3 separate regions of the Mus musculus genome follow, and all the other regions are reported to be linked to region 3. The links are microRNA targets in miRTarBase. Many come from high-throughput screens and were not tested one by one. Region 3 holds a microRNA gene; each other region holds the end of a gene's coding sequence.
Evidence for each region. Region 3 holds the annotated microRNA mmu-miR-335-3p (UUUUUCAUUAUUGCUCCUGACC, at 2,328-2,349, shown strand). A microRNA usually pairs through its seed, bases 2 to 8, with sites in the 3' UTR of a target mRNA and lowers its output. Matches are read on the target gene's strand: a 7mer-m8 pairs with bases 2 to 8, a 7mer-A1 pairs with bases 2 to 7 and ends in A, and an 8mer does both.

Region 1: the mRNA of Prkacb is a reported target of mmu-miR-335-3p. Seed matches in the 3' UTR shown: 7mer-A1 at 110-116.
Region 2: miRTarBase lists Zfp92 as a target of mmu-miR-335-3p. The part of its 3' UTR that is shown has no 7-base or 8-base seed match.

What each region holds. Positions count from the first base shown.
Region 1 is chr3:146,729,749-146,733,005 of GRCm38, forward strand. Prkacb (protein kinase, cAMP dependent, catalytic, beta) reads right to left here. Exons shown (of 10, transcript NM_011100.4): 10 at 1-2,965. The coding sequence ends at 2,840. Among named protein-coding and RNA genes, the nearest start is that of Gm36521, 46 kb to the left of the region's middle.
Region 2 is chrX:73,422,299-73,425,555 of GRCm38, reverse strand. It overlaps Zfp92 (zinc finger protein 92), which reads right to left. Exons shown (of 6, transcript NM_009566.5): 6 at 1-3,257. The coding sequence ends at 2,687. Among named protein-coding and RNA genes, the nearest start is that of Trex2, 11 kb to the left of the region's middle.
Region 3 is chr6:30,739,027-30,742,283 of GRCm38, forward strand. Mir335 (microRNA 335) reads left to right here and starts at 2,273; the gene lies at 2,273-2,370. Mest (mesoderm specific transcript) reads left to right here. Exons shown (of 12, transcript NM_008590.2): 2 at 1,644-1,798; 3 at 3,115-3,194.

The DNA.
Region 1 (3,257 bases), not on the chromosome of region 3:
ACATACATTATTTCATTTGATTCTTACAACAAGCAGAAGGAAAGAACAACAGTCAGTGGGAAAAGATAATCATGTATTTTTAGGCTTACAATGAGCATTGTTTTTTTTTTTTTTCAGACCAAGGGGCAATCAGTACAGGTACACACCAAGAACAAGACAGCAATACCCATAAGCCACGGCTTCTTTTTGGTAGGCTGACAGTTTGATATCAAGTGTCTATTTAGCATCAGTGAGGGAGGAAGGAAGGAATGGAACAGACAAGGCCTTTCTGATAGTCAAAGGGTTTTCAGCACACTGTGGAGGTAAGAGGGAGGACAAACAGAAACGTGTTGCTATCAAAGCTTACTTCACAGCGGGATACCCTTGAGAATATTAGCTGAGGAGGGAATCCTGACCTACCTCAGGGAGTCGGGGGTCCCACAACGTGCCTGCTTCTGCCCTCTGTCTGCACAACGCCACTCCAACAAGTCTCCCTCAGTCCAGGGCTCTGTCCTATACAATGCCATCTCTTGATTTAATGGGCAAAACACCATTTCTTCTGTCTTACGTAATATACTTTGAATAAAATACTGGTTTTTGCCACTGACTTACTATTTCAAGTTTTTAAAGAAAGTCTTTTCAGCTGTGGCTAAAAATGGGAATTTTAGGCATGTTAAAAATACTCCAATTTAGTGTACTTGGTTAGTCAGAAAGAGACCCCTTGACCCAGCTGATGGTTTGCTCGTGTACTTCCAACAGAGACAATAAAATGGAATGGCTGAGAAGCCCCAGAAACCTAGGTGTCATCTACCTGGGTAGATTCTAGCTGGGCACTAATAATTTTATAGAAAAAAATATTTTTAGGATTCATAGAAATCTGTTCATCAATTTTTGAAAACTAAATTATAATAATCAAATTGTCATCCCCACAATTTATTGAAGTAATTTTACATTAATATACAACAACGCTACCAGAGAATTTGTAGCATACATAGAACACATGATTAGCATGTTCTTGGATTTAAATGAAATACATAAAAGTAAATAAAGTATTTTATACAAATGATGCTTTCAGTTTATTAACACGATGATATATCTTTGTTACACAGAACTTGCTACAGCAGAGTATTTCAGTTTTTCTTGCACATTTTAAATACAGGTGGACCAACTGAAATCATTATTTGTTACTGTGGGACATTGCCATGCAGAAACACTTGACAACCAAAACACATGCAGATAGGTGGAGAGAAGGTCTCAGATAGGATTTTCAATGTCTTCAAGGGTTTGGTGAGGGTGTGTGTGCATATGACTAGGACTGCTGTCAATGACCTACCTGCACCAGTAAGGAGGCAGATAGAGAGGCTCTATATACAACAGGGTTTGTCTGACTTAAAACAATCTTATATCCTTGGAGATTCATCATGAAATGAAATATTTTAAACTATTTGGGTAAGTGGACTATTTAAGGTAGGTCACTGATACAGAGATAAAATGAGGTGAGAAAATTAAAAGTAATGAAAGTATAGTAAAAAAAAAGTGAAGCCATTTATTCACAAAGGAACACTGAACTAAATGTGCAAGAGTGCTTGAAATGTCCTCACGATGGCAACATTGTTAAGTCAATTGGCAAAATGTATAGAAAAATTAAGGAAAAGCAAATATGAAAACTGTATCCGCATGATCATATACTCTGTCTATGAAAGAGAAGGAAGAGGTTAGCAATTCTGACGTACTTAAAGATATCACAGCTCAGCATGAAATACAAATGTGGCAGTGTCTCAAGCTTTGCGTTCTCCTGTCACTAGCCAGGCAGGGACACGGCAGAGCTGCGGCAGTGCCCGCCTGCCGTCTTCTTCCCTCAGAAGAGGACGCAATAAGCTACTGCTTTGCTTGTTTTCTTACCTGGTACGAACCAAAGCAAACAGACAAGTTCCCTTAAAGGAGAGAACCTCTAAGCTGCAAGCAGGTATCAAGGCTTCTGCTGACTTAGCATTTATCCAAATGCACGTTTGCTCTTTTCCCTTAAGAGCCCACCGATGAGGACGGAGAAACCTCCCAAAGTGTCATTTCTCAGTCACACTTTCCTCAAATACTGGCTGAAGCCCCCATGGAAGAGCCAAGGCTCAGAAACCTTAGGCCTCTCTCCAGCCCACAGAGAGGTCGGTACCAAGGGAGACAGCTGCGGCGAGGAGCCATGCCCCTCACTTATCTGTCTGGTCACTTACTATCTCACGGAGTGAAGAGCACTAGAAGGCCCAGGGGAACGTAGCCTCTCGTCCAGGAGTCCTCACTGCTCTCTAGGCGCTCTGACTCACTGCTGCATCAGTGACCCCTGAAAAGTTATCTTTACTTATGCAAATTCCCATGCTGACAAGACATTCCATCTTCAAAATTACTAAGAGTTTTGGCAAAACTGAATTCAAGCTACTCAAAATAAAAATAATCATTAGAGAGTTTATCTTCAAGCCACTGGTCAGCAAAAATATTGCTCAAAACTACAAAAAGCAACATGTAGCTTTCCTTTTAAATATCACACAGCCATAACACTGCCCATCTGAAACACCAGGAAAATAAAGGGAGCACTGGTCAGAGAAGTGAATGAGAAGGATATAGGAGGGTGGAGAAAAACCAAACCAGGAGGACGTGGTGCACACCGTGTTATGGCAGACGATGCTGCGGAGCCGTGCCTGGGGACACAGGTGGTTGCAGAGCGAGCGCACACTGATGACGCAGGAAAGACCTCACGCAGTTGCTGGAATGAAGGGATTGGAACCCGCTCCAACAAGCAGGTCTCGGCTCCACCTTCCACCTCCACAGCGTGCAAGGGCTGAGTGTGAGCTCCAGGCTATCTTTCTCCTCCCTAAAATTCACAAAATTCCTTTCCACATTTTTCTGTTATAGACACACGGATTTCTTCTTCTTCATAGTCATCGAAGTTGCTGGTATCGCCAGAGCCTCTGAACTTTGGTATGAATGGAGCCTCAACCTGTAATCGACATCAGGAGGCAAGTGAGAGAATGAACTCCTCAGACACTTCCAAACACCAAGAACAATGCTTTCCCAGCCTAGCTCACACGGGCATCTTTAAACACAGAAGTGCTTGAAGTACGATCCACAGAAGTTAGCTAAAGCCTCATGTTTTCACTGAGAACCACAAACACGAGTGCAGACCAACAGAGAACAGCATCAGAGTGTGGGCTCCAGGCTCGAGAGAACTACTCTCCATTTTATTTTATTTTTATCAATTTATTTCCAAGACTTTCAGTATTTTCTCCAAC
Region 2 (3,257 bases), not on the chromosome of region 3:
GAGGGAAGACAGAAAAAGGAGGGACTAGAAAACAGCAGGAGTTTTTGATAGTTTAAGCGTTTATAATCTAGTTGCCACTCAAGACACACAAATGAACCATTAGCCCCATTCCCCATCTAGCATAAGGAATGGACCAATTTTCAGGCACAAAACAAGGGAAAGCACAAGCGCCTCTGGTTATTTTGACTTTATCCCAGGAGAAGCTTGTTCGTTCATTTTACATACCTGATTACCATACCTGAGAGAACCTACTACACCTAACTGCCTGCTGAAAACATCTAGGAACCGGAACTACAGTAGAAAACTGAGATGTGTTGCTAGGTATGTAGCAACCACTGGGGACTCTGGAGCATTTCAGGGTACTCCACTCTAAAGTGCTCTACATCTCTCCCTGCAGACCCCACTTTCTGCTGAAAATAACTACACATGACCCCTTCTCTGGAGATTTATCTTTGGGTATAGAAGCTGGTGACAGGCTTACAGGATAGGTATCATGCATTCCCTTCCTAGAGCCATGGAAATGATTATTTAAGAACACATGACAGTCTGCACAGGACCTCCCACTGTGGGTACCTGCACTGCATGAGGCCTAGTTTCCTGTATCTGTGCCAGCCCTAGGAGAGACTGTCTGAGCAGTTACTTCACCAGGGAATTAAAAGACACTGTTCTTAGTATTTCATTTTCTAGTGGGAAACCAAGGTAGCAGATACTTTGGACTGCGTCCAGGAGCCACTGAAGCCAACTACTACATAGCCCAAGTCCAGTACACTAAGAGAGCAAGGCTCTTTCACTAGTATCCAACATGGGACTTGGAGTGGAGACACAAGGCTGAGCACAACATACAACTGCAGGCTCATGAGAAAGAAAGCAATCACAGGACAAGTCTGGAGGACATGGAGATAAGAGCAAGCTATAAACTAGAACTTTACACAAAACATTTTATATACATAAAACGTGTGTGTGTGTGTGTGTGTGTGTGTGTGTGTGTGTGTGTGTGTGTGTGCATATTTGTGTAAGAATATCTGAAGTTATTCTGTGACCAGGGCCCCAACCAGCATCCCAAGTTTCCAGGTCTTCCCATACTCTCTTGGCAGGAGGCAGTTGTCTTTGAACCTCACTAACCTTGCAGGGAAGGTACCATCACTCTTCTTGGAGTGCCCAAGGGCAGCCTCCACTTTACCCGTACCCCCCACCTGCCCTCAGGCAGCTTTGTGAGAAAATCTTTCTCCCTCCTGGGATATGAGAGGACTGGAAAGTAGCTTGCTGCCCAGGATGCTGAGCTGAGTATACCAAGGGACAAATCTCCAGGGTTTCTGCACAGGCAGAATAGAACTGCTACAGATTTTCTTATAAAACACCTTCCCCTTAGTTCTAATTAAAGTCAACCAGGCTTAAGACGTGTGTGTGTGTGTGTGTGTGTGTGTGTGTGTATGTGTGTTTGTGTGTATTTGTGTGTGTGTGTGTGTATGTGTGTGTGTATGTGTGTGTGTGAGTGATATCACTTGGAGGGCCAGACTTGCCACCATACTCACCAGTCATGGGCTGGAAAGGCTACTTTCTCCTGTCTGAGCTTGGGCAGGAGTCAGGGATGGAACACAGGGCCCGAGGTCTGCTAGGCATGTACTCCACCTCTGAGCTACACCCTCTGCCTGAGGAATTTTTATAAAGGATCAATTCCCCAACACTCTCATATAACAAAGATCTCCATTTCCCAACTTTTACCTGCAAACAAAAGCATATTAAAATAATGGCAACTTTAATATTCTAACAAATGTCATCTGTCTGAAAGGTAATTGTCTGGCCAGACTCATTTCTGGGGCCATCTAAGTGCAAACTCCTAACCTGTTATCAGCACACAATGGGTTCCATGAAAGGGATTAGCAGAGAAACTGTAGGTATTGAGACAGTGGATAGGAGTGGCACAAAGAGGCCATGTCTTACCTACGCCCTTCTTCTATGAGGCACCAGAGGAAAGAGGCTCCTTTCCCAAAATGGAGACCCTCAGGTCTCTGGACTTTAACCTCTCTGCAAGATGACAGCTTTGGTACAGACCCTCCAAGCAGCAGCAGGGGTACATAATAGGGTCCAAGTTTTCACATATAGCCTAGCCTGCGCCCCAGGACAGCAGGTTCCCTGTGCTTTCCTATAAAGCATCAAGTCAATTTTAGAGCTCCTTCAATTTATAAACTTTTAATGGAATAAAGTAGCTTTAGTATATTTTCCCTAGAAACACAACTCTCAAGGGGAGGAAACCACCCCACATTAAACAAGGGAAAGGACATGGGTCATCTGTCTGTAAACTTCATGGTAACTGTGCCTAGAGTCGGCTGGACCTACCTGCTTCCCTTCTAACTACATCAGGCAATTCCCATGTGGATGGAAAAGACCAACTCTGTATAAAACAAATCTGCTCACTTGGAGACCCCACTCACACAGGCACTCACACACCGAAGCACACACAGGAGAACCCTGCCTAGGTAACTTGAGGAGCCTGCCTGTACAATCTCTAGGCATCAATTGTATCATCCAGGACTACGGAGGGAGCTTTCCTTTTCGACCTATCAGGGAAGGAGCAGGACAAACTACACTGAAGGTGGAGGGCACTCTGTCATTCTGAATTGCTTCTCTGTTTCACACTGGGGAAGGGGCCATCCTGCCATTCTGAACTGCTGCCCTGTTTCTGGCCTCAAGGTGAGGATGGACCGTGGGGCTTCTCAGCATACACGAAAACTACACTGCCTTCGCTGTCGCTTTCCTCTGTGGGCTGGGCTTCCAGATGTTGGCTGAGCAATGACTTATCCTCCAAAACTGAGGTGCTCGAAATAACAGGCTTCTGTTTCTTGTCATCTTCGTCGTCATGGATGCGCAAGTGGCGACACAACAGCAACTTGTTCTCGAAGACCTGGCCGCAGCGCTCACAAACTTGGGGCTTCTCATTGGTGTCGATGGGCTGGGGTTCTGCGGAGCTACCTTCTCCAGCCTCTTGGGGCTGCTGCCCATGGAGGTCCCGCAGATGCTCCAGGAGCTTGCGCTGGAATCCCTTCCCTCGAGTGCGGTGCTGGAGCCGCACCCCACCATGCACCACCTGGTGCTTGAAGAGGTTGGCCCGGCGACCAAAGGCCCGGCCGCATTCGCTGCACTCATAGGGTTTCTCACCTCTGTGGACCCGCTGGTGTTGGCTGAGCCCTGAGAGGCCTCGGAAGGCCTTGCCATACTCATGGCACGTGAAGGGCTTGTCGCCGCGGTGGATGAGCTGG
Region 3 (3,257 bases):
TGTGCGAGTGTGTTGAATTTTTGCTCTAAATCATGGTACCATCAAATATTAGAGAGTGGACTTAAAAATTATTGTTTAAACCTTTTGGTCCGATTGCTAGTTTCCTTGACTGCTAAAAATCTTAAAATGTTTGGGGTATTTTTACCAAGGTAACTAAAGCTGAGAATGGCTGGGGGGGGGGGTTGTCCCCCCTTTCCTGCATGGAGGAGGTGCACTGAGGTATGGTCCGGAGAGCGTGGGTGTGGCACCTCTGTTTCCCTGCGCCAGCAGGAAGCCCCTGTTCACTCTGCAGTAGGCGCCCCTCCCCGGCGTTCTGCTGAGTCACTGCGGATTCAGTGAGTCCAGCAAGGATGCCCCAGAGGCTACATGAAAATGTATGAACAGGTAACAGGACCAAATGGGTTCTGAGGAAATGAGCAGTAACAACAAAAAGACCCCCCCCTCCCCCAAACCTAATGCTTTTGCTTTTCAAAGAGGTTCAGCCTTAAAACCCGTTAGTGGATAACAGACTGAGATAAAAACCATCGTGTTCTGGCACTGTGCCAGGCATTTCTAGTATAGCCTCAAAAGGTAGAACCAAAGCCTTGTGTCTTTATTGGACAGTGACTTTGGAGGAAGGAAAAAAAAGTCTCAGCGCTGACTAAAGTTGAGGCAGGCAGCTGAGGTTCCTAAGGGGTGCTGGTTTTTACCCACCATTTCAGGTTTACAGAGAACACCCCCCCCACACACACAAAAACCCAGTCAGTTTCATCAAATTGCAGGTAATGTGTTATGTATAGGGTGCACTCAAATACAAAGACAGCGGTTTTATTTGTAGCTCACTTCCTAATGTCTGTAGCTTTAGTTTAGGAGGCACTATCCCAATTCTTTAGAGAACCCTTTCCTTGGTGACCATGGCGGGTCACAAAGGAAATGGTTTCTAATCGTGCCTTATTTCTCGCCTCCAGGATAAATTGATCTGGACCTTTGAAATCCAGGCATGGCAAGCTGGGGCCACAAATCTGTGCTTCCCCCCCCCTCCTGCCCCCCCCCCCCACAAAAGTCTTGAGTGCTAGGTGTGGGGGTGGGGTCTTAATTAAATAAAAGGGAACCACCTCAAGAGTCTGCTAAGAATGCACAAATATAATCTGCTGCCCAGACTTGTAAGAGATTAGATATTCAGGGTCAGGGCAAAGCTGCTTACTGGAATTCTCCTGGTCTCTCCCCTCAACAGTTCCATAGCCCAAATGCAGACAGTAGTGCCAAATGGGGATTCACTTGGTCAGAGGATATGTATGTGTTAGAACCCAGGAGCAGCTCTCTGCTTAAGGCCATGCAGTAAGTTACATATGTGCTTGGAAAGAATGGTAGTGAGCTAGTACAGTGACTGCCAGATGTCAAAGGGTAAAGGTGTTTATCACATTCTTCTTGGTAAAGTTTATGCCATTGTCACGTTGGGTGGGGAGGTGTGGAGTGGGGAAGGGAGGGGTGAAGTGGGGAGGGGAGGGGTGGAGTGGGCAGGGGAGGGGTCGAGTGGGAAGGGGTGGGGAGGGGAGGGGAGGGATGGGGGGTGGGGTCAAACCTCACAGTGCCCAGGTTTCCCACCCATGTTTCATTCTGATTTTTGGAAGTGTACAATGTTACCTTGGCTGCTTTTTCCACAGGATGAGAGAGTGGTGGGTCCAAGTAGGGCTCCTGGCTGTGCCCTTGCTGGCTGCGTACCTGCACATCCCGCCCCCTCAGCTCTCCCCTGCTCTGCACTCATGGAAGACTTCTGGCAAGTTTTTCACCTACAAAGGCCTACGCATCTTCTACCAAGGTGAGAACTGGGCTATTGGAGAATCCCAAGGACGTGGGTCGTGTAGGTTTCAGCTGAAGTTACTTATTTTGTGTCCCTTGGTCTGTTGCTCCACAGTGAAGGTGAGGTGAAGGTGGGGGTAGAATTGTGCCTGGTAGTAATTGCAGCCCCATTTGTATTTGAGAAATTACTTTTCTCTTTTGAGCGCCCCTAGTGTCAGGTAAGCTATATAGTATTTCGAGATCTATCTATACCTTTGTTTCCCCCACGCCCCACCCCATTCCCAAATTCATGCACTATTTTCCGTGATTTGTTATATGTAGCTGATAAGATTGACTTGATGACTGCTATTTAATTACCACACTCAGGATATTCAGTTATATTTTAACCTTCATTATTTCATTTTTCACTTAATTTTTACAACAGCATTTGGAGATAGGTGCCATTAACCTCATTTTATAGCTGAAGAAACCGAGAAACAGATTGGAAAAGATTTCTTTTGGGCGGGGGTCAAGAGCAATAACGAAAAATGTTTGTTTTTCGTAAACCGTTTTTCATTATTGCTCCTGACCCCCTCTCATGGGTTATAGCCAGTCGAGTAAGTATGCATTTTTTTTTTTATGTTGGCTTGTTGTTCTTTCCCAGACTTGATATTCAGTGTTACATCTTATTTGCATAGGTTCTTTAGGTTAAATCCAGTATATGATATTTTAATTGCTTTTAATTAAATAATTTCTGAAAACATGCTACCAAAGTTTTATTCCACTAGCAGTATTAATTTCAATCCAGTACTGTTGGCAAGGTATTTTATTGTTTGAATAATCTGAAATATGTCACATACAGAAAAAGTTCCCATCACTATTAGCCCATCTTTGTAACAGTTTGATTTTTTGAGTTGCATGAATTCTGCTAGTATATGGACAAATGGTATAAGCTCAGGTGATCCACTGGGAAGAACTGTCACATCTTAGATATTAGGTGTGATAAATATTGATTAGGGACAAAGAAGTTTTAGCTTGCTGTGATTATAGTATTTTAACTGTTTTTCCTTTTTATTTAAAAATTTGAGTTTTATATTAATGTCAGCGAAAATATGAGGATGTCTACACAACTCTTAAGTGATGATGAACAAACTGTTTTAAGGGTTTTCATGTAAAGCATGCCATTACGATTTAAAAGCGCAGATTAGGAGGAAGCTCCTGAAGTCCTGTCAGCTTGCTTTCTAACACAGCATGGTGATGTCATTCATTTAGTCTGATCCTTTTGACTGGATTAGATTTTGGTGTCGTCAAGGCTGCCTTGCATGCAGTTTGCCTCATTTCTCATTTTCCTCCTAGATTCTGTCGGTGTGGTCGGAAGCCCTGAGATAGTTGTGCTTTTACATGGCTTTCCAACATCCAGCTATGACTGGTACAAGGTAATAATGTTTCTAGGTCTGGCTTATGTCCTAAAAAAAATACTCAAAACTCAAGATATTTTT